2 linked regions of the Nothobranchius furzeri genome follow. The protein of the gene in region 1 interacts with the protein of each later gene in a pairwise test. Links are inferred from orthologs where the notes say so. Each region holds a gene or a part of one and is shown on either strand. Other genes may lie near its edges. The genes, in order: kifbp and dok2.

Region 1 (4,514 bases):
TTTTAAAAAGGCTTTTTTGAAAAAATGTAGAAAACTTGTGCTTTTTAAAAATTGGAAAAATCAAATTTATAGTTTCAAATACAAATGATGTTCTATGCTGGTAAAGAATTACTGTAAGGTGTTTAAACTCCACATTCCTGCAGAGTTCCTCTACTTGTGATGTAATATACGAGTTTCAGTCAATTAAACAGAGACGGTTTCCTGCTGTGCGTACCTGCGTGACATAATTCTGTCCCACCAGAAAAACCGATCTGGCCTCCGTGAAGTCCAGAGGTAGCAAACACATGACCTGTAAGAGACGGAGGACGCAAAACAAACCAAAAACACAAAAAAGCAGTCAGCAAAGTGACTTAATAAAATCTATAGAATAGCGCCCCCTACTGACAAGGCACCCAAAGTCCTCATTAATAGTTTTTAAGATTCTCTTATTATATTAAACATTCAAACTTATATAATGAAAAAAACAAACAAAACATAATGCACAGTGAAATGAAGGAATTTGACAAAAATAAAAATGACAAAGCTACTAGGGTTGCTCGACATTGGCCTTTTGTTATCTTACAGATATCCGACATCTTCTGACTCTTAATTTCTTGATACGAACATCTCATTTCTTCTATCATGCATGCTTGAATTTTACACACTTTTTGTGTAATATTTTTTAAATACAAAATCATAATTGTGAGATTAACTTAATCCACTCCATGTTTCTTTACTACATTAACGCAGTGTGTGTGTGTGTGTGTGTGTGTGTGTGCATTTAAAGAAAATGTAAACAAAGCTTTATGACCTCATAAAACAAAGACCCACACAATAACCAACATAAAGTTTGAACTCGGGTGACTCAGACCTTTTCTTCCACACTTGCAATAGAATCAAAAGTGTCTTCAGAGCCAAACAGCAGAGCACTCTTCCTCCCTTTTTCTTCCTCCTCCTCCTGTCGTCGTCTCGCTCTCCTCAGCTCATCCTGACGATCCGTATCCAGCTCACCGATGTTGTCCTGCACGAACACCCACAAGACTTTCATACAAGACTTAAAAACCAGCGTGAAGATCTGACAGTTAGAGGAATTTATTCCGTTTCTCTGGTTTTCGTTAACAGGCACAAACAGTACCTCCAGGAGTTTCTTAGCATCCTGTAGGAGATTTAGACAATATTTAATCCAACATCTCGCCATCTCTGCTCTCTTCTGTCTGAGCTGTTCTCTGCGCTCGCTCTCCGCCTCACCTGAGTCGGACAGAAAGAGACGATCGGATGTGCCAGTGACCAAAGAGAGGAATGATAAACAAGTCTAGAGGAACAGGGTGAAGCAAGGTGAAGCAAGGAGAGGTGAAAACTACGCCGGTTTACTCGACTCTGGGACAGGCGTTTAAATAAAATGTTTTCATGAGAGGGCTCTTACTTTCCTGAGCTACGGCCTCAGACGGAACCTCTCCAGCCAAACCTGAAACAACAGTAGCTGCTGCAAGGCAATGCCTGCCCTCCATGTATCGGCCCTGAGAAGAACACCAGCACAAATGCGAGACGCTTACTAAAGTTTACAACAGAAGAATCAACATCCTTTGAGATTTTAACTCATAAGTCAACAATTTCCCGTTGCACCCAAGTGGTACCTTTGGGATGTAATACTGAGACAGCGCAGCTGCATTCAGAGCCCACTCCATCGGGTTGAACTGGTTTAACTGTAACTGTCTCTGCAGGGTGCAGTGGCAGTAGGTGGCAGCACGCTCTTTCTGACCTGAGAGACAAACGATGGTGAAACATCCATATGTAATCTAAACTACCCGGTAACGAGAACTTCAGCCACACACACTCACCGAGGTTTGTATACACTTGAGCGAGGTAGTACATGGTGTGGGTGTAGGCCAGCTCGAACCTGGTGGAAGAGAAATATAATTTAAAACGTGCAGAGCATGCTTATGGAAGCTGGGGTTCAGAAATTACCTCTTGATCCTTTCCTGGTGTGTCAGCAGGTTCTCCTCTGCACTAAAGTACTCCGTCATGTCGGTGGGAGGAGTCCCATCCTTCACGAGGCACAGAAAACACAACAATCCCAGATGTTGGGGAGGATTTGACCTCATAAAATTTCAACTGCAGTGTTTGTGATTATATATTATATATACGAGACTCATTGGCCGCGTAAAATACACAGAAAGGGTCGTGAGAAGCGTGATGACAGAACAGGAACAGAGCAATGTGGTCCTGATGAACAAGCGTGCTGCAAATGAAATGTCCAAATAAAAACAGTTCTGGATCAGCTACAGTTTGAGTGAGTGCACCAGCAGCTGCTCAGAAAACCTAACTGACCTCCTTCATGTAACGCTGGTAGATGGACTCCGCTTTTTCCAGGTACTCTTGAGCCATCTCGGTCTCATCTCGGCCAGCCCAGAGGATGCCCAGCTGGTTCTGACGGAACGGAGAGCAAACACACACACACCATCAGCTTATGTACTCACACACCTGAAATGATGCCAACTCCGCCATTACTAAACCAGATGAAACGTCATCGTTCGTTACCCTGACATTAATGAACAGCGACACATTCTCCGACGACACCCCGCATCTCTCCAGCAGCTTCATGCAGTTCATCAGATGCTCCTGCCCGGCTGACAGCTCCTCCGTGTCCACATGGTTGACGCCCAGAAAATATTCCACAGCTCCGAGCTTGGCCACTCGCTTCCCCGCTGGGGAGTCACCGCTGAAGCCCCGAGAGAAGACACCCTCCTCCTTTTGGTCGTCCACCGGCTGCTCCGTCGGTAGCTGGTCCCCGCTCTCTCCGCCGTCGGCGTCCTGCTCACCGTCACCAGCTTCTAAACTCTTCAGTGAACAATAGATTTCTCTGAGAAGTTCCCGGGCTTTGTACTTGGAACGGAACGGGTCGTTCTCTGGGTCATTTCTAGATTCTACTTCGGTGAGATTTTGGGCGTTGTTGAATTTGTCGCATATAGCTCTCCACTCATCACTATGGAAGGACGCCATGTTTGTTTTCTTCTGGGTCCTTTTATTGTTGCATTACTGCCGCCTGCTGGACGAATCTGGTCTCTACAATCAAATGACCTCAAACAAAACGGTTACTTTTTTCTAAACCTGTGAAAATTCTACGTTTTATTATAAAGAATACCAAAACAAGAGTTTATTTAGATTTTATTTTTCTCCCCCAAAATCGTTAAAGAGCAAGTCACCCCAAATCAACTTTTTTTCTGATAAACTATATAAATGTGTATGTAATCGCGCTGCAGGCACATGTAGTCAATAGTTTAGCACTTTAGTGCATTTTAGTTAAAATTTAAAATTTCTGCCTGAAACTGTCAGTGTTGTGTCATTGTCAGGTAAAAACTGCACTACATTTGAATTTAAATCTGCCATCGCTATTGGCTAAGAGGTGCCCTAAAACGTTAGGACATTCTAGAACATTCTTCTTCCGGCTCTTGGAGGGTGCAGACGCTTTTTTTCCTCCTCTCCTCCATATGTTATCCTCAAGGCCCTCTGTCTGTCTGTGTGTGCTGGGTGCATGGCTGCTTCTGCATTTTTCTGGAAACTGAAATTCACTTAAATGGATCTCGTCAGTTGGTCTCTCAACGTGATTGATAAAGTTTTTTCAACGATGAGAACAGGAGAAGGGGCTCCTGGATGCCCCGCTGGGACAGACCCAGTTGGACACATCATGGACTCCTGGAAACAGTGGAACTTGATTTGTTTATCTCAGCTGTCTGTGGAGGACTCTGAAGACGTGTGGGTATTCGTGGTGTTGGTGTCAGGTTTCCTGCTCATTGATCTTGGAGGCTACCTGGCTTACCGGAAAATTAACGAGCTGTCGAGGATTATTGGCCTGATCCCGGAGCTCAGAGATGGTTTGCACCGCGCTGTGAATTCACAGACTCAAATAATTGTCGAGATGAATCGTAAGCTTGGAACTTTGGCCGAGATTCCTTCATTGGCACAAAAGGGTGCCATCAAGGAGAGAGTGAACGAATCAGCACGGATTGGGATAGATTAATGTCCATTATTGGGATTTTGAGAGTTTGAGGACCAACAAACTGTAAGACAGAGAGGAAGTTATCTCTGTCTAGCCCCAAAACAATTTCTAATCGGAATCTGGAGCCCTTGAGCCTGCAAGGCTCCAACGAAAACTCCCCCCTCAGAAGATATATGGAATGTGCCGTCGCTATGGCAGCTCAACTCTGTCTCCTTTCCCAGCCTGGGCGGGACTGCGGGAAGGCCGCTGAAATGTTCCAGGGTCACTGCAACTAGGGCTGCAACAACGAATCGATAAATTCGATGAAAATCGATTACTAAAAGCGTTGGCAACGAATTGCGTCATCGATTCGTTGTGTCGCACAACTCTTCCAAAAGCGCCCCCCCTTCCCGCCCGCCGTTGCGCGCAGACCAGAGCAAGTCAGATCAGCGCGAGGGAGAGCCGCAGATCAGCGCGAGGGAGAGCCGCAGATCAGCGCGAGGGAGAGCCGGCAGATCAGCGCGAGGGAGAGCCGCAGATCAGCGCGAGGGAGAGCCGG
Region 2 (2,559 bases), on another chromosome or scaffold:
TCTTCGTATCATTTTACTCTCAGTGTGAAATGAGAGTTTTTTTGTTTATTTTTTTAATATATATTATTTCTTTATTTATATATAATTTTTTTAAATGAGAGTTTTAATTAATTAATTAACTAACTTGCTTAATTTAATTTAATTTAATTTAACTTAATTTAATTTAATTTAATTTTATTTTATTTTATTTTATTTTATTTTATTTTATTTTATTTTATTTTATTTTATTTTATTTTATTTTATTTAACTTAATTTAATTTAGTTGTTTTAATGAGACTTTTTAATGCAGATGTAATATCTCTGTTTTTATTCACACTGGGTTACAAAGAGCATGTTTCTTAGGAAAAGGCTGGGAACAAACCCGTTCCTTTTCAACACGACAGCCGGGAAATTGTTCATCTTTCAAAGTTTCCTGAATTCATCTGAATTGTTGAGTCAAATAAAGTCGTCGTTAGAGGAAAATCTGATGTTGGTAGGTCAGATGAAGCTCTGACGTACTCAGCTTTCATGATCCAGTAACGTAAACAGGCTCCTGGATGATTCCCGAAGCTCGTTCCTGACTCCGTGTGTTCTGTCTGCAGGCAGCTGATGGAGTCTACAGCATGGTGACCGAACCTCAGAGCCCTCAGATGATTCTCCACAGAGACATGGACAGCTCCAACCCCCCCCAGCTGGTAGGACACAAACCGTTAGAAGTTCACCTTCACCTGCTGGACGGGCTTCTGTGAACTTTGACCTTCTGCTGGTCTTTGCTGTAGCCATGGTGTGATCGGAATGATTGCTTCTTTCTCTGTTTTCAGTCTCAGCTGGAGCCTCCGGCCGATAAAGTCCTGACTGGAGTCAAAAGTCTGACTCTGGACACTCGAGGACTTCCCGTCCCTAGGAAGAACCAGGTCAAGATGATTTCCAGCTGCCCTCTACCCAGCGCTAGCCCAGAACCTGGATCCAACCTGACCACAGGCCCCAGCTCAAACCCGACCCCTCGCCCCAAACCGAGTTCCAGCCCAAACCCGAGTCAGACGTATTCCCACATCGGCATGTCTGGCGTCATGGGAAGGGACACCAAGAAGGACAAGAGGAGCGTCAACAGAGAGCCAGAATACTCCCTCCCCTTTGACACAATTGCTTCCAGCGTCATGGGTGACCTCCTCCTGGCCTCCCAGCATGGTCTCGGTCTTGGAGGAGAAGCTGGTGCTGACCCGTTGTACGATAGCATTGATGAGATGAAGATCAGGAACATCTTTAAGAGCCCAGCTGACTCTAACAGCAAGGTGGATCACATCTACGATGAACCTGAGGGCTGCGCCATCCCCTCAGAGGAACAAAAGGCCACACCCCCACCATCGGTGTATGACAACCCCGAGGAGATGAGAGGAGGCGCCTGGAGGTGTATGGGTACGACCTCTGACCCTACAGGTCACGAGTACCCCTACAACCCTTGTGTAGACGACTATGCTGTCCCTAAACGAGCCCAAAGGGCTTTTGTTTCACAACAAAGCTTCTCCAAAGAAGAAGAGGAGAAAGAGGAGGAAGAGGAGGAGGAGGAAGAGGAGGAGGAGGAACAATACTCAACATATGATAACGTGATGGTAAAAATGGGTTGACTAGGGGGAGGAGCCAAAGTTCAGACAGCCAACTATTCAGCCTGGAAGTATTTATGTAAAGATATCGATTGGTCCATCAGAACATCTGTCCATGAGAACATCTGTCCTTCTGTCCATCAGAACATCTGTCCATGAGAACATCTGTCCACCTGTCCATGAGAACATCTGTCCACCAGTACATCTGTCCTTCTGTCCACCAGTACATCTGTCCTTCTGTCCATCAGAACATCTGTCCATGAGAACATCTGTCCTTCTGTCCGTGGGAACATCTGTCCATCTGTCCATGAGAACATCTGTCTGTGGAAACATATGTCCATCTGTCCATGAGAACATCTGTCCATCTGTCCATGAGAACATCTGTCTGTGGAAACATATGTCCATCTGTCCACCAGTACATCTGTCCTTCTGTCCATCAGAACATCTGTCCTTCTGTCCGTGGGAACATCTGTCCATCTGTCCATGAGAACATCTGTCTGTGGAAACATATGTCCATCTGTCCATGAGAACATCTGTCCATGAGAACATCTGTCCATCTGTCCATGAGAACATCTGTCTGTGGAAACATATGTCCATCTGTCCATGAGAACATCTGTCCATCAGAACATCTGTCCATGAGAACATCTGTCCATCTGTCCATGAGAACATCTGTCCATGAGAACATCTGTCCATCTGTCCATGAGAACATCTGTCCATGAGAACATCTATCCATCTGTCCATGAGAACATCTGTCTGTGGAAACATATGTCCATTTGTCCATGAGAACATCTGTCCATGAGAACATATGTCCTTCTGTCCATCAGAACATCTGTCCTTCTGTCCTTCAGAACATCTGTCCTTCTGTCCATCAGAACATCTGTCCTTCTGTCCATCAGAACATCTGTCCTTCTGTCCATCAGAACATCTGTCCTTCTGTCCATCAGAACATCTGTCCTTCTGTCCATCAGAACATCTGTCC

What was found.
Region 2: the proteins of kifbp (region 1) and dok2 interact in a two-hybrid assay, tested with the Homo sapiens proteins (2 studies listed by BioGRID and IntAct). The two-hybrid records come from large-scale screens. The link is inferred for Nothobranchius furzeri from reciprocal best matches to the Homo sapiens genes KIFBP and DOK2.

The regions. Positions count from the first base shown.
Region 1 is NC_091749.1:53,758,441-53,762,954, reverse strand, and holds the start of kifbp (KIF-binding protein), read right to left. Parts: upstream 3,017-4,514; 5' UTR 2,980-3,016; coding exon 2,518-2,979; intron 2,407-2,517; coding exon 2,308-2,406; intron 2,025-2,307; coding exon 1,945-2,024; intron 1,877-1,944; coding exon 1,818-1,876; intron 1,739-1,817; coding exon 1,614-1,738; intron 1,497-1,613; coding exon 1,403-1,496; intron 1,228-1,402; coding exon 1,115-1,227; intron 1,001-1,114; coding exon 851-1,000; intron 290-850; coding exon 215-289; intron 1-214. UniProt on the Homo sapiens protein: Activator of KIF1B plus-end-directed microtubule motor activity. Required for organization of axonal microtubules, and axonal outgrowth and maintenance during peripheral and central nervous system development.
Region 2 is NC_091750.1:36,300,174-36,302,732, forward strand, and holds the end of dok2 (docking protein 2), read left to right. Parts: intron 1-581; coding exon 582-674; intron 675-800; coding exon 801-1,604; 3' UTR 1,605-1,827; downstream 1,828-2,559. UniProt on the Homo sapiens protein: DOK proteins are enzymatically inert adaptor or scaffolding proteins. They provide a docking platform for the assembly of multimolecular signaling complexes. DOK2 may modulate the cellular proliferation induced by IL-4, as well as IL-2 and IL-3.